4 linked regions of the Schizosaccharomyces pombe genome follow. The protein of the gene in region 4 purifies or fractionates together with the protein of the main gene of each other region. This does not show direct contact. Each region holds a gene or a part of one and is shown on either strand. Other genes may lie near its edges. The genes, in order: swd22, cft1, ysh1 and yth1.

Evidence for each region.
Region 1: the proteins of yth1 (region 4) and swd22 purify together in Schizosaccharomyces pombe (affinity purification with mass spectrometry; 2 studies listed by BioGRID). This does not show direct contact.
Region 2: the proteins of yth1 (region 4) and cft1 purify together in Schizosaccharomyces pombe (affinity purification with mass spectrometry; 2 studies listed by BioGRID). This does not show direct contact.
Region 3: the proteins of yth1 (region 4) and ysh1 purify together in Schizosaccharomyces pombe (affinity purification with mass spectrometry; 2 studies listed by BioGRID). This does not show direct contact.

Annotation. Positions count from the first base shown.
Region 1 is NC_003424.3:1,687,063-1,692,215, reverse strand, and holds swd22 (Set1C-histone-H3K4 methyltransferase complex subunit Swd2), read right to left. Parts: upstream 1,951-5,153; 5' UTR 1,855-1,950; coding exon 829-1,854; 3' UTR 501-828; downstream 1-500. Other genes in the region: HOPS complex subunit Vps16, read right to left, coding at 1-55, 104-138, 179-209; SPOM_SPAC824.03C (uncharacterized protein), read left to right, coding at 2,571-3,314; bst1 (GPI inositol deacylase), read right to left, coding at 3,598-5,153.
Region 2 is NC_003423.3:1,111,140-1,119,417, reverse strand, and holds cft1 (mRNA processing protein Cft1), read right to left. Parts: upstream 6,149-8,278; 5' UTR 6,080-6,148; coding exon 1,754-6,079; 3' UTR 1,190-1,753; downstream 1-1,189. Other genes in the region: translation termination factor Rrf1, read right to left, coding at 123-857; RNase P and RNase MRP subunit Pop8, read right to left, coding at 6,259-6,373, 6,431-6,589, 6,631-6,683; erg27 (3-keto sterol reductase), read right to left, coding at 7,417-7,953, 8,002-8,278. UniProt on the Schizosaccharomyces pombe protein: RNA-binding component of the cleavage and polyadenylation factor (CPF) complex, which plays a key role in polyadenylation-dependent pre-mRNA 3'-end formation and cooperates with cleavage factors including the CFIA complex and NAB4/CFIB.
Region 3 is NC_003424.3:3,619,802-3,626,303, forward strand, and holds ysh1 (cleavage and polyadenylation specificity factor complex endoribonuclease subunit Ysh1), read right to left. Parts: upstream 3,910-6,502; 5' UTR 3,844-3,909; coding exon 3,796-3,843; intron 3,742-3,795; coding exon 3,655-3,741; intron 3,609-3,654; exon of another isoform or gene 3,606-3,608; coding exon 3,508-3,605; exon of another isoform or gene 3,375-3,507; coding exon 3,246-3,374; exon of another isoform or gene 3,205-3,245; coding exon 2,304-3,204; exon of another isoform or gene 2,260-2,303; coding exon 1,713-2,259; exon of another isoform or gene 1,670-1,712; coding exon 1,206-1,669; 3' UTR 960-1,205; downstream 1-959. Other genes in the region: sideroflexin Fsf1, read right to left, coding at 7-342, 383-456, 570-679, 728-753, 794-856; pof8 (LARP7 family RNA-binding protein Pof8/Lar7), read left to right, coding at 4,068-5,276; protein Rqc1, read left to right, coding at 5,773-6,502. UniProt on the Schizosaccharomyces pombe protein: Component of the cleavage factor I (CF I) involved in pre-mRNA 3'-end processing.
Region 4 is NC_003424.3:509,169-513,747, forward strand, and holds yth1 (cleavage and polyadenylation specificity factor complex subunit Yth1), read right to left. Parts: upstream 2,197-4,579; 5' UTR 2,169-2,196; coding exon 1,999-2,168; exon of another isoform or gene 1,903-1,998; coding exon 1,612-1,902; exon of another isoform or gene 1,553-1,611; coding exon 1,501-1,552; 3' UTR 1,242-1,500; downstream 1-1,241. Other genes in the region: serine/threonine protein phosphatase PP2A regulatory subunit B-55 Pab1, read right to left, coding at 1-317, 395-435, 480-523; fol3 (folylpolyglutamate synthase), read left to right, coding at 2,639-3,892. UniProt on the Schizosaccharomyces pombe protein: Component of the cleavage factor I (CF I) involved in pre-mRNA 3'-end processing.

The sequences.
Region 1 (5,153 bases), 1.2 Mb from region 4:
CAAACATAAAGTCAACAGGATCTATATATTCCCATTCCGCCTTTCCAATAGCTGACTAGTTACATTAGTTTTTAACTCTGTTACAAATTCCATTCTGACGTACCTTTTGGTAATAAGTGTCTTGTAAAAGTTCCCATTCTTTCGTAAATTAGTATAACTATGCAACTGAACGGCATACCATAGATGGGATACTTTATTGAAGGCTCCATTTCTATTTTATTTAGAAAATGCTAAAAAGGTGAAGCAACTTCTATAAATGTAGTTCAATGTATATTACACGTGAGTATTGTGACGAACAGTGGTATCCCCGATCACACTTAAAGCAACTGGTAAGAGTCATCTCACTATGTCAAGCACCTAAACAATTCGCTTTCCCGTTTACCTGGGATTTCTTTAATTTAATCTTTTTTTTTAATTACAGTGGATTGAAGGAATAAGAAAACAGATATATCTAGGAGTCATTTACATGCATACGTATGCGTTATACAATGTCAACATGGTATATGTCAAAAGATAGAATAGTATTAACATTATTTTGCTTATCGCAAAGTTTGATTTCTTGATATTCATATATCAATGAATTCTAGCGAATCCTTTAATAAAAAGGGTATTAGTAAAAATTCTAACATTGCATGAAGAAAATTAAGATCGGGAAATATGAAAAATCAATTAAAGATTTATGAGGATTTTATATTTTAAAAATTTTTAGTTCATTTGTTGAAATGACAGGTTCCTCAGGTTTACGTATAGGTAGTTGTTGAAGACATAAATAAGATTATATAATAATTAAAACCTGGGAGAAGATTACGGTATGCTTTAGCAGTATAATCATGATGTTAAGGCATATTTTTCGGGAAGCCAAAAAACGAGTTGGGACCCTGCAGTCAAAAGTTGATCATACCTAGGATTATACTTAACAAGACCTGGATTAATTATAGACTGAGAAACAATACGATGTTCAGGAGGTCTTGTTTTTCCTTTATGGTGAAAGGTATGTCTTAAATTCCATACATTCAGGGTACGGTCGTCAGCAGATCCTATGACAAAATTACCTTGAGGTACAAAAGTGGTTGAGCCGCCGTGAAAATTGTTGGAGAACGGCAATTCTTGGAAGTCCTCTAATCTAGATAAAACATCCCCGCTGAATGCATCAAGTATATAGTGAACATTAGCTCTAGTTGAGAGAAGTATACATTTTCCATCGTTGGAAAACTCCATATGTTTCCACTCAGGCATCATGGGGGGAAACGAAAACCTTGATAAGTAACGAGAGTCATCTATTGTGAATGTTGAAAACGGATCAGAACCATAATTCCGCACGTCGTAAAGAAAGATACGTGACAGTGAATGACATGCAACCGCAAAAACAAGACCTGTGGGATCATAAGCGGGAATTCCAAGGGATGGGAGATCTAAATTTCCAAGGCATCTCGAGGATTGATTCATTTTCCAAAGCTTCAAGGTTTTGTCGTTTGCCGTACTAACGAATTGGTCTTCAATAGGAGAAACCTCAATGGATGAAACGATGTCCGTGTGCCCACTGAAGTACGATATTCTTTTGTTGTCATAAATTGAAACATATTGAATATCCTTATTCCCCTTTGTGGTAGACAAAAGTAGATTATGATCGTGGTGTGTAAAACGAGCAACTTCTATGCCGGTTTCGAAACAAGTTATTGTATGGACTTGCTTCGGATCTAAAGCATCATATATTTGGACTGTGTCATCGGCAGAACATGTCGTTGCAACATACTCTCCAGAATCACTGTAATCAATGCTATTAATGAAGCTTCCTAATGAGTTATCACGAAACGACTGTGCAGGCTTTAAACTCGAAAGTATGCCGATATCCATTGAGAATTAAATAAAATATATAAATTCTCTTTGAATTTCCTTTTATATCCCCTTAAGGGCCTTTCTACTTTGCTAAGCCCTTGCTTGCATTTGTTTACTTGTGATTCCACAAAATTAGAGTAGTGCCAGACAACGTGTTTAACGAACTGTAGCACGTTTTAGTATACAGTTTTAAATTACAATTCGAAAACTTTTAAAAAGAATAGTGAAGTTGAAAATTAACAGGCTATTAATTTCTCCACCAAAAATACACTTGATTAATAAAAGAGTCTGAAGGCTTGATATTGTGGAAATGGAGGCGTGATGTTATCAAAACTTTCATATTATCAAATATAATTTAAGAGTAAATTTTTATTAAGGAAAACTTATAAACAAAGCTACCAAGGAAGCTGGATCATTCCATGAAATACAGCAGAACCAGTTTCAATTATTTTGTCGCTTGCTTGTAATCCTCAAAGCTCTGTATTTTTGTTATTTTCTGAATAAATTTTTCTTAGATATCGCGAATTTGCTTTTGCAAACCGTTAACAGATTAATTAAAATTACTAAGGAACGGCGTGATTCACGAACTTCTAAAATTCAGCAAAAATTATTTAAATAACTACTTTCGATCCTCAGTCGTTGTTATTCGAATTAGAAGGGAATGAATATTTGCATAATTCATTTCTTATCCTGAACTTTATACTGTTTAAGTCTTTCGCATTCTGTCTAGCGTGATGTGGATTTTAAAGTCAGGGTTCAATCGGTGTAGAAATTTTTCATTCATGAACAGAGGCCTTTTAGGCCTTAGAAACTTGTCTGTCACACACAACAATCTTGTTTCCTATTTAGAACATTTGAGTGTTCAGAAGCCTTCAACGTCGAATACTGTTGCCCAAGGAACCTTGTTTGAATACTTGGTACAGTATGTGCTAAAGCAACACAGTTTTCAGCTTGAAAGATGTGGTGGAAAGGGCGATGGTGGGGTGGATTTGGTGGGCCAATTTTCGATTAAAAATGTGTTGTTTGAGCCCACCAAAGTTGTCGTATCCTGCAAATCTAACAAGGGATCAATAGGGCCCAGATTTGTTAGAGAGCTTGAAGGCTCTTTGTCATCTTATCCAACAGATACTCTTGGGATTTTGGCTTGTTTGGGTTCTTTCACATCATCCTCACTGAAGACTTTGTCCATCAGCAACAGACCTCTTGCCTTATGCCGCATATATGTTGACGGATTTCATAGCTACATGTTTCAATTTGTTTGGAATCACCAAGCTTTGGCTATTTTTCCCGACCTGAGTGTGCGCCAGATTTACAAGCTTCCTTCGCCAACCGCTAATATTGTGCCTTTATCTCAGGAATTTTCCCAAGTGAATTATGTTTCCTTATTTGAACTATTACAGCCATTATCACGTACGGAAGAAAGGCCAGTACCTTTAGTGTTGGTCTACAAAAATCAAAAAATATCTCTTAACTGTTGATGACAGCTCATATATTAATTCATCTTTTTCTATTTCCATCATGCTAATGTGAGTTATTCAGTCTTTGATAAACCAATAAACTTTGTAAAGAGATATTATTCAAGGTAATAAATAGAAATAAAATTCAATGAACGAATGTCTACCAAATAAAAACGAAGTTCTATCTTGAAAATTAAAGTATGATAAGTGTTCAACAGTGTGAAAATAAAGGAAATAATGTAATATAAAAGAGAGAATAAAGAAAAAAGAGAAAAGAATTAAATAATATTGTTACAAGTTTCCATTAAGAAATAGATCGCAAAAATTTGTGCTTAATAAAATACTTCATTCTAGGAATGATCGGCCATTTCGAAATGTTTTGTACAAAAAAACCATTCTTGGCATACAAAAATAAAAGCCAAAAAAAGTATAACCCAACTACATTGTGAATGAGGTATGGTTTTTCAGCTCCATATATCAATGAATAGAAAGACAGAAGAAACAAAAAAACGTTATTTATGTAGTACTCCACGTCGTTCAAACGAGGTAGCATCTTTCCTGTTCGTAAAATTTCGGTGAGTAATATAAAAGGGATAATTGAGAAGAAATTATGATGTGTGGGGAAAGGAATAGACCAATGCATGGAAAGATTTCTAGCCCAAACAATGAGAACAGGAAAGTCCAAAGGAGCTAAGAGTAACATCAGTATTGTTATCGTGCAAGAGAAATTGTAGAAATCCCACAATTTTTTTCGGTAATGGCTTGACTTGGTGCAAAATCGGGCCAAGTGTAAAGCTTTAGCAGTAGTTACTGTCTGGGTACATAAAGCAACACCATAAACAAGTTGAAAGGGTACCACCGTCATTGCCATGAGCAACAATAACATGATGCCAATTATCCGAGCTTGCATATGCTTCTTTCCATATACGTAACAGAGAGAAGGGTTTGCATAATACATATTTCTCTGAGATAGAAAACTCGAAAGTTTTTTAAATTCTCCATGATCCAATTTTCTAGTATTTCTTGTTCTCAGACATTGAAAGGAGAACTTCACAGCTTGGCATACACCAGTAAAAGTCAAACCTTTATAACGCAAGTAGATACCATATATGAATGCTAATAAATGCATGACACAGAGTATAATAACACTGGCTGTTATAACTAAGCCAACAAACATTAAAGTTAACAGCGGGGCGAGGAACCAAAATTGAGCAGTCTGTAGTCCAAAAAGTAAATGATTTTGTTTCCAGAAAGATTTTGGAACCATCATTGCGAATATTTTCCAAGAGGCGACAGGGTCAGCACCATCGGCAACAATCAACTCTACTCTGCTAATTAAATATGAAAATGCAATTGACAAGATCGAAACTAAAAAAAGGAGTTTGATAAGTCCTTTGCGAATCATGACTTCAAGTGCAGCCGACATACTCAAGTATGCAGAACCGTAATGAAAATACCTAAACTGATTGTAAGCTGCCAAACTAATTACAACCACAGGAAAGGAAGCAAGTAATGTTCTGTAACGCATGAGCAGACGCCCAGCGCTCCTGTAATAACTTGGCTGTATTGAAACATAAACCGACTTATAGATAGCAGGATTCAAAAAGAATTCGAGAGTTAAAGATTTTTCTGATTCCTTACCAAAAAATTCCATAAATGGGGATATCCCGTGAACAGAAAGTTCTGTATTTGACATATTCACATGATATTTTGTTTCAAATGGAGATTCAATACTTTGCTTTAACATAGGGGTAAATTCTTTTTGAGGTACGGCACCAGGATAAAGTTCGTACGTTACTGAAATGGTGTAAGCCATAATTGAGCTCTGAATACCAGGGAACCTGAAGCGTTTCGAAATCG
Region 2 (8,278 bases), on a different chromosome or scaffold from region 4:
TCTAATTGAGTTTACTCAACAATTTTGTTCGGTATATCGAAAACATAATGTAGTCGTGTTTATAAAATTACTATGAAATGAATATACATCACAAAGAGATATTAAATCTGGCGTAATTGAGATTATATTACCTTTTTCAAAGCTGATTTCAAACCGCTATCAAGCAAATTGATGGCATTTTTAAAAGCTGTTTGCATTTCCGCTTCTGCTTTATAACAATCATCGGACGTCCAAGCTTTACTTTTCTTATTTTTTGCAATCTCTTTTTTTAATTCAGTTCGCATTGCAGACAGCTGTTCTCGACTATCTTTTGCGTATCCTTCTAATACTTTGGCCAACTGCTGCCGACTTTCTAAAGTGGTTCGTTGTGGCTTCACCTCAATTGTTGATGCATTCAGCTTATTAGCTACAAACGGGTATCTGCTATCTTCAATTGCTTTTAGGATGTTTTTTATGTCAACGTCTTCAAATGGACGAATAATAATTTGCTGAGAACCTTTCTGACTAACAGCTGCAATTTCTCGAAGCAGACGACTAGGAGTAGGAGCTTTTATGCTTTTGGATGGTATGAAAAGTGCTTCTAGTTGAGTGAAATTTCCTTGACTCGGTAAAACAACTGCCTCTTGAAATCGTTTAGCCAACTTTTCGTGAACCAATTGCATTTTTGCTTCAAAGCTTTTCAACATTTTATTAAATGAATTAGCAAATTCTGGATCGTGATCATGCTTAACATCTTTATCCTTAGCTTTTTTATGCAAAATTCCACCATTATGAAATGCACATCTGGGCGACAGTATAGAAGTGTGGAACCGTTGTGAATCTTGAAACAACGTTGCTTTGCTAATAATCCGAAACATTAAAAAAAGAGAGACTGATGGATATGAGAAAAGCAATGACTAACTGATTCTTTTCACCAATTTACTACGTGATGCAGATTTACCTTATGCGTATTTGAATAACGGAGATGAAGGTATTGAAATATACAGGACAATACATTGCACTGTGTTATTAGCTACACGGTATGTTAAGGTCTTTTTATGAATACCAAATTACTACGTTGATTTTTCATGCTATCCATATATAATATTATGTAGGTGCGTTTACTGTAATACTTATTGATGTCTTATGTAAATAAAATATTGTATAGTATAATAATTTCGATGAAATAACCTAGCTTAATTAAATGATGCACGTATGTTCAATTGATCTATTTTATTAATAATTTTGATCATTTATACAAGTTAACAATTTTGTTTGTATATACACGATAATTGTCAGAATTATCGCATATTGCTATCCTGGGAGATAAACACATAGAGGAATAATAATAGGTAATGAAATGCATAAAAGCGTTTGCTAACCTATTCACAGGTTGAATGAAATTGAAAATTCCCAAGCCGTTGACCGTATATGAATTTGGTATTTATATATAAGGATCCTAGCCTGTAAAAATGATCAGTGGTTAACATACCTTGTACTCATCATATCCTTGTCAACAAACATGTATATACAAAGTATAGGATGCTTTTATACTAATGTTAAGTAAATTACTCTTTTACCAAATCATATGGTACGTCAATCTTCGCGAGAAAATGAGCTTCAAACACTAATAATGAAAGCATCCTTTTACAATATTTGCATTATTACTTTTGCCATCATTTATGTTGTTTTTGTTAAGTGCATCCTGCTATAGATCATGGTATCCTTTAGTTTCAAAAATATGCAAAAAAAATTTTTAAATAACTACGCCCAATTACATATAACTTAAAGCTTCATCCAACTCTACCAGATCATTCATAATAGTGGATACTGGAACACCACATTTATGAGCCATCTCATGTCGATGAGCAACTGACATATATGTAAAGTAATCGATGAGCATACCATCGAGAATTCGTCGAGTTGGATTAGTCAAGTTGGATGGGGAGGTGATGAGACGATAGGACTTGGGATTTAGGCCGCCTATCGTATTAACACGGTTGGCAAGGTAGTTCTGGATAATGTTCAAACGACGATACACCCGATCAGAAATCGGAACCAGCATTTGAAGTCCACCATCACTATTTACCATTACACAAGAGAAGTCATCTCCCGTATCATAACCATACTCGGCATTTTGATGCTTTTTTTCTTTTGGCAATATCGTCATAGCAGTAATTACATTTCCTATATGGAAATCTCCACGTGTTACAAGTCTTTCACCAGAATGAGATTCGGGATTTTCAGGATCATATGCAAGTAATCTTAAGTTTCCAGATGTATCGGCCACTACAAAGTATAAATTCTCACCTTGCACAAGAAAATCTGCAGCAGATACGTTGAGCGCTTCTTGACCTTTAGAAAATAAAGTCATTCTGTATGGCTCTTCGGCAAAACCGACAAACGTTACGTTTTGTCGGACATCGCCAAACAATAACAAATTTCGCAAACATTTAGCAGACAATGTATAACTCCCAAGGTCAATAAAAGAAACGCCAACCAAATGGTCTTCGTCTTCCAAAGCACGTACAATTACTTTTTGGCCTTGACCACTCAACAAATACCCATCAACTTCGCATACCACCGCGACTGTACCCTTAATTTCCTCTCTAGTCACTAATTTCAATTTATGACGAGTTTCTGGTCGCCCGGGTTGAGGCACGACATCAATAATTTCAAATAAATATGTAGATCCGCGAACAGCAATATCTTCACCTTTGGTGATAGAGGTCCCTACAGCGATATATGGCTTCCTCAGTTTAGTTGTTTCAGAAACTTCAAGGTTAACCAAAGCAACCGATAAGGGAATCTCAAATTGTTGAAATTCATAACTATCTATAACAGTCCACGTTAAGGGGGAAACAAGGTCAAGCGAACCGGTGTTGGCCATTGGAAGATAATCATTGTCATCAGTAATCGCATAAGGCTCGTTTCCATCCTCGTCAGTTACTTTAAACTCAATCGGTACGGCACTTCCAACAGCATAAACCATTTTTGTAGGATGATAGGCTATTCCATTGATTTGTTTTCCTAAAGAAACTTTCTTGTAAGGCCATTTATTGTCGTATTCAAAATCTTCTTGAAATTTGCAAATGCGAATAAATGAGTTTTCATCTACATATATATAACCCTGTGGCGCATGGTGTGCATGAAAAGGTGCAACAGATAAAATTGGTATGTTGGAGGATATAGGAAAGAACTTGGCATTTGAGTGAAGAGTACTCAAAATTAAAAAGGGTTTCCGCCCAGTTACAAAAACTGCGGAGTGATTGCCTACTACTTCTAAAGCTGTCATTTTTAAATGATCAACAGAGCTTGAAGCCTTTTTCTCCATTGTAGATTCTGCATCTCTGGGAGTCCCAACATTTGCTTGGAATTCCCTTGTCATTGTTTCTTGTGGTACTTTAGCAAAAGCTAACAAATTTTTATGCTTATCAGTGTTAGAATATAAGAATGCTTTGTAGACTGTAATCTCGTTTAGTCTTGACCTGAGAAATAAATGTGGCTCCTTGAAATCATCACCTAAATCTGCTACAAGTAATTCAACAAGTTCTTGACTGGATTCTTTGTTAAAATAGGTCCTCTCTGATTCCATCCCATTAAATAATGTAGGTGGTAAATCGAAAACATCGCACTCCATTAAAAGGGAAAAATCTGCCAAGTTGTAAACTTTTAATTTACCTTCATCAGTCAAAGCAAATAATATTGGATGTTTTTCCAGAGACTCCTGATCTAAATTACTAACATTTTTTTCAGTGACGATGGTGTTGTCAACCTCAGGAACATCATCAGCACTTACTGACTGATCATACCCCATTTGATCATTATTACTTGTTTTATGGTTAGGTTGAATATCCAAATCTGTCTCAGAAGCTGAATCATTCATTCCATTGGCTATTTGACCCTTGGCGTTAAGGGTTTCGTTATAGGTAAAAAGCTTTGCAAAAAGTGCAGAACTATCAGGGGAAACTAAAGAAGCTGTCTTAACATCCGAAAGTCTATTTTGTAAATCCGTTTTGATCAGCCTTTGGGATTTTAAATCCATTTTGTAAAGAGCGATTCCACCACCCAAAAAGACAACGATTATACAAGGATCACAAATGCTTGTTGAGACGACTATTTGTTTTTTGCTAAAATTAAAAAGTTGAGTAAGACGTAAATTTGAGTCGTATACACGCAGGCTAGTAGGACATATCTGAACCATACGCATACCGGAAAGCAAAGAGCCGACATTAAGTGTCTTCGAGTCCTTAGAAAAGTCAGAATGCTGTACCTCATCAAAGGTTTCACCTGCCAAAAATATAAACGACTCCTTCTCTTTAGAAAGTACAAGATAAGTTTCTAACTCGGGATTTGAGTATTGAGCTTGTATTCTGCTTTTCATATTTCGTAGCTTTCCTGAAATACTAACGGTCCATAGTGCTTCACAGCCGTCAAATTGAAATTCACCGGCTATTAATGGAAATATGTTTCGCCGAAAAACAACAAGACCGCCAGCACCGTCAGCTCCTGCTGTACCTACCAATTCCAGAGGTCCATGGTTGTCTTGAGGGAAATAGGAGTACGATCCTGCCTTTCCAACGGCAAAGTCAGTAATTGGACCAATATTTGTCAATACATCACATATTTCTAGACGTAGCGGGCCGTTTTCATAAGCAATCTTCCTTTTAGAACCCACGGATTCATCTGTTTCATAAATATCAAGCATATCATCCATTTCAGCATCGTTCGTTCCATAAAGAGTATCGTCTCCTTCATCCAATCTTACCTCCTCATTAGTAGTACGCCGAGACCAACGAAGCAAATAACTGTCAGTAGTCTGGCTACCTAAGAAAACAAGATTTTCGCCAGCAGGCACTGCACAAGTGATTCCTGATTTAAGAAAGTCATCATTAATTTCTAAATCCAAAGCTTGTAATGACAGTCCTTTGACTGATTTACCATCAAGTAAAAAATCTAGATAAAAAAATTGACCGGACGTGTGCACCAATACGACAAAGGGAGTTTCAGTCTTACTACTTGTTAAGGGAATGGCAATAGTCCCCTCTAGTTCCAGGTTAAAATCAGACTGGTCTTGAAGTGGGAAATCAGTACACTTTGAGTAGTAAGAATTTACGCCGATACCGACAGTCCGGCCAGCGGAATCAACATATATAAGCTCATTTCCACCCAACAATAAAGAACCTCCAAGAGGCGTAGGTATTGAAACCGATGCGTAGATATCGTAGGGAAGTGATTGAATGGTAGTAATAACGGCACTAGCGCGTTGCTCTAAGTCTAAAGTTACCAATGAAAAGAGAACGGTATCCTTTCTTAATGGTAAAGTAACGGTAGAAGTCTGTTCGGGACTATATAGAATGGCTAGTGTAGGCTCGCGATATCCGTATAGAAATTTAACGTCAAGAATTCGTGAAATACTAGCATCCAGTTGAGAAGAAGCTAAGACAAAGGAGGGTTTGTAGGCATAAGATGAAGAAATTTTAGAATTTTCTATAGCAGCCTCTTCCATATCCAAATCTTCGTTAGCTGGATATGGAATAATAGCCATCATATCAGTTAAAAATCGTAATAGGCAACAGTCGGAATCCGGATCCACCAAGAGCTGTGTAGGGGTATGAGAGGAGCATATATTTGAAGATTTGACATCTTCATAATAGTGAAGACTATTAGTTACGAAGCTCTGACTTTGCATATCCCATTCCAACGTAGATACTTTTGCATAGTCGGTAAGCATAATTAACAAATCACACCCATTACTTCCCTTTCCCTTCAAAGCCGATATTTCCGTTATAGTCCCGAAGACTTTAACTTGAGAAACGAGTCTAAGAACGTAGGTAGTTTGTTCATTGGTACGTATGAGATGCATATTTGTCTCCATGAACGCCTGACTTTCATCGATTATGCTGGTGGAGAATTCATTCTGCAAGGAATCATCTAATGGGAAACTGGATTCATCTTTTTGAATCTTTTCAATCTCAAAAAGGTGTAAAGAATTCACTTTACTTACCACTAGGTTATTAGATACAAGAGAAGTAAATTGGCCTTGGACAGCATTTTTTATAACTGTAGAGTCCACTAGGTCTTGAAATATGGTTGACATAAAGCAAATACCACATTAAATGTGCCTTTCAACTGGGACGTTGAGCTTCTGGAAAGGATGAGGTAGAGTAAGGAGTTGGACGCGTCCAAATACAGTGTACAAAATCTACAAGTAGGTTTTAAAAGCAATTCATTTTAAATAACTAGTAATTTACATAATAATAATACAATCCTTTTTACTTATGAAAAAGGAACCGCTTGACAAGGAAAGTCTGAAGCGTGTAATACCATAAGTCTTATTTGTTCAGGTTCGCGAACATAGGATCCGAGTGCCACAAGGACTTTCTTTTTATCCCTATTATTATTGTTCAGTAAGTAAAATAGCACATTACAATTACAGTAGTTGACATACTCTTTATGGCACCTTAGATACAAAAATTTTGATTGTCGATGCAAAAAATCAATAGGAATTGCAGACCCAAATATTCCAAATGACTGATTTAGAGCTAATGTGATGAGATGTCGTAAAGAAATATCGTCTATTTCATCTATAGGGGTAGTACCTCCAACCCTAAGTATGTCAGTGAAACAAATTATCCCAGACTTCCTTACACTTCAAGTATTATATATGACCATTCGCTTTTTAAACGTTGATGAAGTACCATGGCCTCTTTTTAACTCAAAAGGAAGGCAGATCGTGTCTGGTGAAAGTTGTATAGAGAAGTAAACTTCTGAGTAAGTACGATACCAACACGTTTAAGGATGCATTTGCTGCAGTTCCTGTGGAATCTACAAGCTCGTAATTATCATACTAAAATTATCGTACCATCACATAAACTGTTATGTGAAGGCTAATCTTCGAATAATTGAGGTACTGTTTAATTATGTTTCCTGTTTTCATGCCTGTAGAAAGCAAACAGCTGAACAAAATGAGGAAGCCTTCAATTCGAAGTGTAATATTAGAAAAATTTAATAACTTGAATTATTGCTATTTTTCATAATTTAATTTTGCTGGTTGATAAAATATATCCAGATACACAATTTACGAAATGCGGTCTTATAGCTAGCATGAGACAAAGACGGCAACTCGCGGAATTCTTCATATAAACTTTTCCGAGTCCGAGGTTCTAATAAATTCGTATGTTTGTATTAACTAAATTGAGACATAAACTATATTCCAGACTTGGTTAAAATCCCCTTATCTATTCATTTTGTCAAGATATCTATACCGATTGTAGCAAAATTTGATAAAAGCAATTTTCAAAATGTTTTACTGAGAATGCAATGAATCAGGGATTGTTCTTTCATAACTCCCCTCGTCTCGTGCACTTTAAAATTAACTGGTACTCCAGATTTTTATCAAGGCCTCCGCGCAAGAGAATATGTAAATGTTTCCCTTTACGAAACCAGCTTCTTTTTCCATTCCTGGTAAAGTTTTGTCATATATTCTAAAGCTTTCTCTTGCTCTGAAGGCAAAATTAATTCCACAGGAGTAGAGAGGACTCTTTCATGACCAAAACGAGTCACGGCTGCTCCCCACTTGATAGATTGATCTTCTTTGGTAGCATGTAAAGCAGTCCAAAGAAAAGCAAAAGCAGCAACGTATGGAGAAATTGTATGCCAAGGACTTCCAAGTAAGCGACAAATATAGAAACCGAGCTTTGCACACATAACCAATATAGGACCGAGGAAAGTTTCATACATGTTAGTAGTACATAGTCCGGGATGGACAAGGTATTGTTCAAAAGGGAGTCCCTTTTCAAGTTCTGCATAGTGTAACACATCTAACAAACGCTTTGAAGATTGATAGGGTTGCTCGCCGTGAAAACATTGTAGGTCTTCAAAATCAAGGGATTTTTTTTCTGCTACTAAACTGCTTGTAAGGACTACCTTTGTTGACGAACGGAGCACTTTTAGTTCGGCCAGGCGATTTTTCTTATGTAAATTAGTACTAACATACGGAATTAAGGTGAAAAAACTTACCAAATAAAAATGACCAAAAACATTACTTTCAAATATGTAACCGAGGGAGTCATTGCTCACACGTCCAGCAGTCTCTTTGTAAAAGGTTGGATGCGTCAGTGCCTGGATAGGGTTGATCAAAGTAGAAAAGATAGCCTTTAGCCATTGAATACCTTCCAGGTCCCAAGCACCAGCATTTAGGTAAACAAAATCTAATTTAGGGAATCTAGTAGCGATATCTTGCACCGCAGCTTCCACTGATGCCATATTCGACAAGTCTAACAAAACGTATTCCAAC
Region 3 (6,502 bases), 3.1 Mb from region 4:
TCATACCTGACGAAGTTCTTCGCCGCGCATCAAAAAGACATTTAAAACACCAGCTGAAGCAACAGCAGCAAAAGGGGTCAATCTTCCGAGTACCGCTTTGGACGAAGAAGAAAGAAAGTTCATACGAGGCACAATTTTGTTGAGACCAATAGCAACACCACAACTTGCACTAACAGCATAAATATAGGATTTAGTCATCTGCGGAAGAGTCAATTGCGTAGATTTATTTGCATTTGCAGAATTAAAAGCTACATTTACAGATTGATTCATCCACTGCCAAAAAACGGTTCCAGCGGTACCAAGGTTTGGTTGCAGCATACCTGCTGTGACGACCAAATTAGTCTAATGATTAGCATTTAGTCACTAAATAGTATTATCTTACCAAGACAAAGCATGACATTCGGAATGGTAAGAAAACAGGTTCCTTAGTATCGGGATGCAAAGTTGAATCAACAACTAAAATCGTTAATATGTTTTTTTTTTTAATTTGAAAATATATTTAATAACAAAAAAAATAACTAATCAAATAATATAACATTTGATCGGATTTGTATCGTATAACTACATACTTTTCTTTGCATGCCAAACCGTTTCATCTAATTGTGCAATTTTACCCGCTCCATAGTCTTCCAGAGTTTTGACGGCGCTATTTAAATCTTGAGATGTAGAGAGAAGTGTCCTACAGATGTTAGGTGCTCAAACGATCATGTAGTTAAATTATAATTACCTTGGATCAGTAATATCCATAGCGTGCTGCCGCATTAGCATAAATACAAAGAGTAATATAACATACACGAACACGTCCCCAATAGGTGGACAAGTCATACTTAGAGGTGGGCAGCTTATTGCTGGACATTGTGGTGTTGGTGTTGGTAGTCGGTACAAAAATTTGCTTAATTAACCCGATTGGTAGTGTCTTTGGAGTTCATAATAGCTACAAAAAAAGTTTTCCTTACAAAAATCTAAATAGTTATAGCATTTTTTTAAGTACTAGTCAATTTTTTTGGAATGGCTATTAAATTGTTTGTCTTTGACGTAAATGGCAAGAATAAATTAAAGATTCGATCACGCATGACTAAGAAACAGCATTTTTTAACAGAAATACCAGAGTGCATGATAACTACTGAGACTTAAATAGCAAAAAATGAAGGTAGCCATAAAAGTGTCATGGCTATGAAAGGCAAAGATTCGTTCGTAAATAATTTTCAAGAAAGTTCTTCTTTCTTAAGGTTGGGCTGTTCATTCTTTTCTTCGCTTTTCTGTTCTTCAACTGGTTCTGTCTTATTTTCATTTTTAACATCATCTTCTATTTTCGTTTGCTGCTCAAAGATTTTATCATCGTCAGATTCTTCATTTTCAAAATCATCTTCGGAGACGTCGTTTTGTGAAGCTTCAGAAAATGGAAGGATAGTATTGATCGCACGGGATAAAACATGTACGACTCTAGATCGTAACGCTTCATTTGAACATTCAACTTTCATAGTCGAAAAATCAATAGACGCTTCATATTTTTCAAATTTGATTTCAACCCCCTTTTCCGTTTTAGTCATACTTTCGCCAAATTGGTTGTCCAAAAACATCATCAGCTTTTTAATACGATCTTCCTCCTTTGATACTTTTGGAGGCTTATCTAAATGCGAATGCAAATGGTTACATTTATGGCTCGTCACTATTAATGGTTAGAAATTGTTCCACATTAAACGCAGACTTACACTTGACAGAAGCAGGACTGCTTTCAATGCCTAGTAGAATAGTAATTACTGAATCAGCTATTGTATCATTCATAATGTTGCCAACCCATTCAAGAGCAAGCTTATGTTCTTGGATTAAAGTCAAAGTAATGGCGTCCATTACTGTATATTGAGGTTGTCCTGCCTTTGTTTTTGACTGTTTGACATATCCAAACATTTGTTTTAAATGGAAATTTGCAAGCTCCATACTCGAAAAAAATGGAATGACTTGTTTTTGGGTTAAAACGGTGGTAGTAAGGTCACTGAAATCTCGAAGATCTTCAGCTGACATCAATTTATAATTGGCATCCTTTTGAATTAAAATTCCACTCATAATGTCGCCTTCTTTTGGTTTATGAACAGCGACCTTTCCCAAAGCTCTCACTAACCGTTCCCCTTTGAAAGGAAGATATAACGGTACGCAATTTCGAGGGGTATATACTTTGACATCGACTTTTCTATTGTGAAATTTGCTGGCTAGAGCACTTTTTAATCGACCCATATTTGTTTGCTCACCATGCACCAAAATCTATAATTAGTTAATTTTAACGTTACATTAGTAACTAAACATACAATGTGATCGGCATTTACCAGGTCAATGAATTCACTGTTTTGAAGATAATCAACATGAGCCGCAAAAGAAAGTTCCTCCACTGCCATTCTTCTAGGAATCTTTTGGCCTGAAAGTGACACAATTTCAATAGGCTCATTTGTAATTTGCTTTGCCATTGTCCCTTCAACAGAATAACCAGTAAGAAGTAACGTATTTCGAGGGTCAGGAGCCCATCTTTCTAAGAGGGTTCTTGAAACACCATTTTGTAGCATACCAGGACTTGCCAATATTACAGAAGGGCCAATATCATCGAATTTTTCTAAATTTCTTAGACTTTTGACAAAACGAAAGATGAACGGATTTCGTTCGGCAAAAATTTTTCGAATATTATCATTCATCATGTTAACATAAGTTTGAAAAATGGCCATACACTTTCTCGCTAGCGATGATGCATAATAGATAGGGACTGAGCGAAGATCGAGATGATTATTCCAATATTCATCGAGAATGAGTAATAACTCCTGAGCTCTTCCAAGAGCAAAGACAGGCATCAAAACTCTCCCTCCATTGCGAATAGTGGAATGAATAATATTTAACAGTCTAGCCTCCTTCTCCAGTCTTGGTTGGTGAGATGCTGTACCATACGTGGATTCTGTGATCAGCACATCTGGTCTTTTAGGAGGAACCTCAGCGACATGCAAATGGCGATCTTCTTCTCGTGAGTAGTCGCCTGTAAATAAAATATTGACTCCAGCCATTTCCACAAAATACATACAGGCACCCAAAACATGGCCCGCATGATAGGGTGTAAACTTTATACCCTCAACTTCTATAGTTGAATGGTAGTCAACAGCCTCGATTCTATCAAAAGCGGCTAACAAATCTTTCTCATCGTAAAGCTGATCTTCCATGCCTACATTACTGCGAGTTGTTAATGAATACTCAGAGCTAAGAATACATACCTCACTTTCACGTAGTCAGATAAAAGCCACTTGCAAACTGCCTTTGTAGGATGAGTCATGAAGACACGACCTCTAAAGTTCGTCTTTTGCATAACATAGGGAAGCGAGGCTACATGATCCAAATGGAAGCTTGCTTAAGTTAGAAATACTTTTCAAAAAAAAATGAATCAATGCCTAAGGGACCATAATAGTAATTGGTACAAGAAGTACTCTAATCTAATAACCTATGGTCGTCTCAAGTAGTGGTACAAAAGGGACTTACTGGCTAATTAAAAGTACATCTACAGTGCTCAAATCAAACTCATCAAAAAAAGGAAGAGCTGAAAGCCCAGTATACGCAGGGTGAACACCGGCATCGAGCTAGCAAAAATTAGCATTCACAATCATAACAAAATAAAAATTAAAATACCATTACTGTTTTCCCTTTGTATTGAATAACATGGCAACTGCGACCAACTTCATTTCCGGCTCCCAAGTTAATAAACTCCAGTAAATCCTGACATTGGTTAGAAAGTAGGCCCTTATAAAAAATCGTAAATTCAAGGCTTACGGATGGGTCTACAGGTGCATCTTCATCAAATTCCTTTCTTTTGGACATCTTTCCAAGGGCTTTTGTCTAAAAACCACAATTGGAAAGACAAGGTCGTGGGTGCTGGGCAAGCGCGAGTTATTCTTCACCTACGCATTCAACATAAATTGGGAGAAAGCAGAACAAAAATTTACAACCCTTTTTTTTTTAATTAAGAGCACCTAATTCTATTTATTATTAATGACTTCACTTTAATTGATACTAGAAAACCGTACTTTAAGGAGCGAAGTAAAATGTTTGTGCCAAGGCAACTGAATGTTCGCAAAATTAAAGCATTTACAGGGAAGGAAAATAATTCTATTGCAGATGGAAATAACAACAAATTGAAAGATGAGCATTACAAACATAATGAAGCCAGCAAAGAACCAAGTCATTCCATAAGCGGAGGACTCATGTTAAATCAACAAGATAGACAGCTTATTGAACCGTTAAATCCTGACTTTTTATCAGCCGTTGATTCTATATTAGAAATTTATTTTCACCGAGAAAGGCAAAAAGAAAAAGTGCACTTGGCCTTTTTAATCCAGCAAGATGATTTCTGGAAAGGAATCCGCCCGAATCCAACGCAAAATAACTTGAAGTATGCTTTATCTTATGTTACTAATGCGCTGTTTCATTTCGATAATTCCTCACACATGGTTATTAGAAATGAGAATATTGTTCTTCCTCTTGACATACCACTGTATGATAGAATTATTTACGTTGAACCAGTTCCGGCTACTCTGTCTAATAAAAGTTTACTTTTGGCTGGGAAACTTCGCAAATACCTCAAAGAGTTCCTTCCCTATGTTGATGCTATCGGTACTCCTGAAGGTTATGCTTTTGTAATTTTGTACAAAAAGGTTGATCAATCAGCACTTAGCAAGTTGCCTGTCCCTCCTGGATGGGTACTGTTGACTCGTAAAGAATGGACAAATCGTGAAGAAAAATATTTTGAAAATCAACTCCATTTAGTAAAAGCGTCATCTTCAGACGTTTCAAATTCATCCAATTCCTTTCCTGAAAATCGTTATCCCAAACTTACTAAAGTAGAAAAACAAATGACCAAGTCTGTATCCAAAACCTCACAAACTGATAAAGATGAAGATAATTTGGATTTTACCAAGAATCTTTTGACCCGTATCAAGAACCTCCATCCTTTAACTAATAAATCTACTATTCACAGCCTCTTGAGTTATGTTTTTTCGCGGCAAACTCAGAATATTGCATGTGAGCCCATGTATATAGACTATAGGAAGGACGAAACAGAGGCGATAATACGTTGGAAAACACCGCTTCATGCTGAGACGTGTATCAACGCGTTTCGTACACAAGAAAGGAAACAAAACAGTCATGATGATATTCGGGCACATAGGAAAAAGGGATCTAGCCGTCCATTCCTGATTGCTGAGCTAATTACCGGAGAAGAAGAAAAGAATTATTGGCGTATGTTAAAAAAGTAATATGTTTTCCTTTCTCTGGTAATACTAATTTGATTTATTTACTACTTTATAATATATTCTGGTAATATAGGCATACAAAAAGGTAACACGGTCGTTATTCTCACTTTAATACTAAATTTGCATTAACAGTTTTTTGTATTAATAACCCCTCTAATTTTCATTTGGCTGATAACCTATTGCGATCAGCAAAAATTCCAATAAACCATGAACCACAAATATGTAAAAACGGTTTACCACCCCACAATTGCAAAATTCTATTACTTAGATTTTAATTACATATTCTGTACATCATTGTTGCTCCCGGCTTGTATTTTCCTTAACGCCTTTTAACTACGAAACGTAATATTCTTCACTGCTAACAGTCTTAAAATGAAATATTTTCTGTATGTTATATATTAATTTAGCATACCGAAAAGTTCTTGAAATTGAGGTGTGTTTTCATAGGTCTGAGTTAAATTCTTACATCTGCCATTCTAGTCTACCACAAACCATTCTCATGTCTTCACGAGCTTTACGGAAACTTCAGCGTCAAAGACAAACCGAGCTATTGGAAGAAGCTTTAGACAGTGAATCTGATGAGGATGACGAGTTTTCTTCAACTTCCGGGAAAAAAGTAGTAAACGTGTTCGAAATTCTCGAAAAAGAAAATAATGCTATTAACTCAGAGGCAGAAAAAAGTGTTTCTGAGGAAGAGCAGGATGAACCATTAGTAGAAGGCGAGTCTCCAATTGTCTCTACAAATAAGAAAGCAAAAAATAAAAAGAAAAAGAAAAAGCAGCAGAAGAAGAAGAAAGTCACTGGAAAGCGTGATTTAGATAATCAATCTTCTGATAATGAGAAATTGGAGGGACTTGAATCAAGCAAAAACATTGATGATGATATTGATGAAATAGAAAAGGCTGCTGCTGAATTAAAACTTAAATATCGTGAGCAAGATCAGGTTGAGCATGTTGCTGGTGTCGAAGAATCTGCTACTATCCCGTTAGATAAAGAACTTGATGAAAAATTGAATAAGTTATTGGGTGTAAATATTAGTATGTTAAATCCTGATCTTGAAATACGTAAGATTTTTGGCCGCATCGTTGAGAAACGTTCGGTCAACGCTCGACATGATAACCTGCGGAGGAAACGCCATGTTTTAGTACAGCCTCAAGAAGGATGGCCTCCTTTAGTAAGATCTGGACTTGGAATGAAACTTACCGGTCAGTCACAAGACTTAGAGTGCT
Region 4 (4,579 bases):
CGACAAATTATTTTCGGCAACGACTTTCAAATTCTTTTCATATAGTTTCCACAATTTTATAGTTTTATCATTCGTTGAGAGTAAAAAATGCGCTCGATTAGTCCTCTTGCACCAGCGAATTTTATTGATCTTTTCTTCGATTTCTAAGGACTTGAGATAATCAAACTCGGGTTCATGACTTTGAAATTCAGTAAAAAACTTATACTCACAACCCTTTTTCGAATGATTTCGCTCAAAAAGAACGACTCTGCCACCTTTATCGCCGGTTGCTAGATAATCACCTGTGTGGTCGAATTCTACTGCTGAAATGATATCGGCTAAACTTGTTAGTCATTTATTCAGTGATTAAAGTAAAAGAGAACTCTTTTATGAGAGAACTACTCAAAACCAATACCTTCAGTGATGTCTTCCACATCACCCTTGTCACCAAAGCATCTAAAGAGTTAGTCATTAATTTTTTTCACACATCGTTTACATACTGGGCAAATTTCCACTGATCCAAAGAGTCTTCTATATCATCCATCTTCTACTCGTATTATATTAAGATTTCGTTCCCGTTGGTACACTTTGCCAATTTCAATTGTATACGAAGATCTTGATCTTCAAATTTCTAAGGGTATCTCTATACCGTCTTTGGATCTTTTTTCAAAAGTTTTGATACAAAGTTTCCCAGTTTTCACTGGCTTTTTTGGAGGGCTGCTGATTTTCCTAACTTGATGGTTCGTATCAAATGCTGCTACCCTAACGAATCTACACCACTCTTCGGCGAGTCAAAAGCTCAGTAAAATTTTTATCGGTAAATCAAGCCTTAAGCGACTTTAAGTTATTAATGGATTTTTGATAAATACAACACTATTTCATTACTTCAGTGTTCATCTTACGCTTTACTACACATAGGATTTTTTGCTCAACTTTACAAAGTCCAGTGTAAAACTTGTTGGCAATTTCCCATTAATGAAACCTTAATCATTTGTACGCTAAAGAAAGGTGTTTTTGATTATAAAAAACTAGAAGTTCATTGTCATATAAAAGATCCATATTGTTTTTATAGTTTGCAAAATTGAATACAGCAGATAAGTAAATTACAAAAAAATAAGAAACATAACTGGAAAGTAGCAAATATTTTACGAATAACGTATGAATGATTAAATGAATAAACCGTCCTTGATACATTACGATGGCGCTCTACGTAAGCGTTTTACATACTGGTAAACGATACTTAAGTTCCTAAATTTTCTTTTCCTTCTATGTTGCAAAAAACATATGTAAAAGGGAGACTTATTATTTAAAACTTATTTTTCGGTTTCTAAATACTTCTATTATCCCGATTATGTGTCGATTTGGTTCGCCGCAACCAAGACAAACCCAACGTCGATAATTAATTTTATTCCATAAAAAAAAATCTCAATAATCAATGTACGGCATCACTAATTGCATATACTCCATTGATAACTTGATTTCATTACCTAATATACAGTGACACATTAAAAAACGCATCCTTTACCAGTCTTTCCGCTTTTGAGGAGGATGCGGAGGTTCAGAGTGTTTAGGACTAGAACATGTTAGTAATAGAAAGAGAAAGTCAACACTATAATTCTTCAAAAAACTTACTGAGCATCTGGGCAATTAGGGCCTAGCGGACAAAACCCAGCTAAATATTTTGGGCAAGGCCTTGGTTTTCGTACATGTTTGCCTCGACATATAGGTCCTAAAGGACAAAATCCCATATTATACCAGGCACAGACACCAACTTGTTTACTGGGATCCAAATGGAGATATAAACACTCTTCGCCATTAGAACACCAGCCGCGCTCTGCATAAAAGTGACATGGAGGCATCTTTTTTAAATTGTACTCGTGTAAAAAATCACACTGTTCACCTTTTTTACAAAGTCCACGAAGCCTTATATAATATTAGTTATCATGAAGGTAGAAACAAAAACAAATAGAAAAATACATGAAATATATATTCATATTACTCTTCTTTATATATACATACCAATGCTTGCAAACCACGCTACCCATTTTCGATCCAGAATCGCGTCCATTTCCAGAGTTTAGCAAGGCAGACCTTCCGAAATTAAAATTTTGCTTTAAATAGTTATCAAAACGAAATTGAACTGAAGAAAAATCAGCTGCTATAGCTTTATCTTTGATATAATCAGTCATTTTGTAGTAACCAGTAGATGGCGGAGGCAACGTTGTTCAGTTGACTTGAATATCACAAATACTTTATTGACTGGCATTCACATACTATAAATGATGCTTATTAAACTAGAACGAATTAAATTATTCTTATAATATTCATGAAATCGCTATTGTTTTAAGGTTTTCTTCATAGGTATGTTTGAAACCTAAGTAAAGAATGATATTATGCAGCATACGAATAAAATAACTTTTATAAAACATATTCTTTTTATCTAAAATTTACCTCGTCAGAGACATAACTAATTGCTTCTGTTGAGAATTTTACTAACATACTAATTTGCAACAGAAAACGTATTATCTTCGCTTCCACATGCAAAACATATTCACATGACCAAGTACTTTTAAAGTTTTTACGAGCTTATAAAGGTAAAGAATCATTATTTTTTAATAATACAGCATTAAAATTCCTCCTTTACTATCGCTCACGTAGGATGCCTATTCAGCTAGGTCTTCAGCGTATGCTACAGCTCTTGAAGCACCTTGGCAATCCACAGGAATCGTTTTGTGCTGTACAAATTGCTGGGACTAATGGTAAAGGTAGCATTTGTAGCTATATATACACGAGTCTTTTGCAAGCTGCTATTAAAACAGGACGCTATACAAGTCCTCATTTCTTAGAGCCAAGAGATACCATAAGCATAAATGGTCAGATTGCTAGTGAAGAGATATTTAATACTTGTTGGAAGCAGGTGATTGAAGTGGATAGAAGATTTCGTACAAAAGCGACGGAATTTGAATTGTTAACTGCTACTGCGTTCCAATGTTTTCATCATTCAGGTGTTCGTGTGGCTGTAATTGAAACAGGAATGGGTGGTCGTTTGGATGCTACTAATGTATTTGAAGAACCAGTTCTTTCAATAATTTCACGTATTTGCTTGGACCATCAAGCATTTTTAGGAAATACCTTAGAGGCTATTGCTAAAGAAAAGGCTGGGATCTTTAAAAAGAATGTTCCGTGCGTGGTTGATGGGTTAAATGAAGTTAACGTCCTAAATCAATTAAAATTAAGTGCAGAGGAAACGAGGGCACATCCGTTTTATTTGGCAAAAGGAAAATCAGGTGAAAACAAAAATGAGTGGATCATCAATACTCCAAATTGGGGAACCAATACTTTTAGTACTCCATTGAAGGGGGATTATCAAGGACAAAATTTGGCTTGTGCAGTAACTGCTCTCGATATCCTTTCTTCGTCATTTTCAATTATGCTTCCCCATGTACAAAATGGTGTAAAAAATACATCTTGGCCTGGAAGGCTTGACATTCGTTCGGTTCCTTCTTTGGGTGATATTTTATTTGACGGAGCACACAATAAAGAAGCTGCGATTGAGCTTGCGAAATTTGTAAATTCGCAAAGACGTGAGCACAATAAATCAGTATCATGGGTAGTAGCTTTCACTAACACAAAAGACGTTACTGGGATTATGAAAATCCTTCTTCGTAAAGGAGATACCGTTATAGCGACAAATTTTTCTTCAGTAAGTGGGATGCCCTGGATTAAATCAATGGAACCTGAAGTTATAAAAAACAGTATATCTTCGGAATCTTCTGTGGAATGCTATACTGCAGATAATCTAACAATAAGCGAAATTTTAAGACTGGCAAAAGAGAAGAATTCCAGCGTAATTGTATGCGGTAGTCTTTATCTTCTAGGAGACATGTATCGTTATTTAAAACTGGACGTATAGCCTCTAAATCGTGCTGTTTACTTTCATACGTTTTTCCTTGTTTGACAAATTTATCATATGAATTGTCACAGAGTGATGAATTGTGCTCTAGAGAATTTTGTTCCATGACTTAAAAACTAAAATTTACTTTCAAAGAAGCTTGAATGATGCTATCAGGTTAATAGAAAAAAGATAAAAGATTTATATTAAGCTTTGATGGGTTTTTGGTGTGAGTTAAGATATTGAGTTAGAAATTGACTTATAGATTACGAATACATTAGTTTAAATACTTGGTGCGCTCTGCCTGCAGCCTTAATAAAACAGATATTATTTTCATTATGTGACTAGATCTTGATTTACAATTCTTACAAGATAAGGTGGGATAACTGAAGCATATTTAGCACATTGAAAGATTCCGCCTTTCTTTTAATTATTATTAAATACTGTCGTAACTGCAATAAAATAAGTAAAACGCTGAAATCGTTAAAAAAATATACCCTTCTATCTCACAGGTTGAGCTAATCAAGTTGATATACGTATAGTGCAAATGATAGGCATTTAAAAATTAGACTAATATAGTTTAACTATTACATTAATTTTAAAATACACAAACATTTAATTACTGTTTTAAAATTATACTCAGAGTCTAATTAATTACAGATTTACCGTAATCCATAGCGCTTGTTATCTATCATTACAGCAACAATG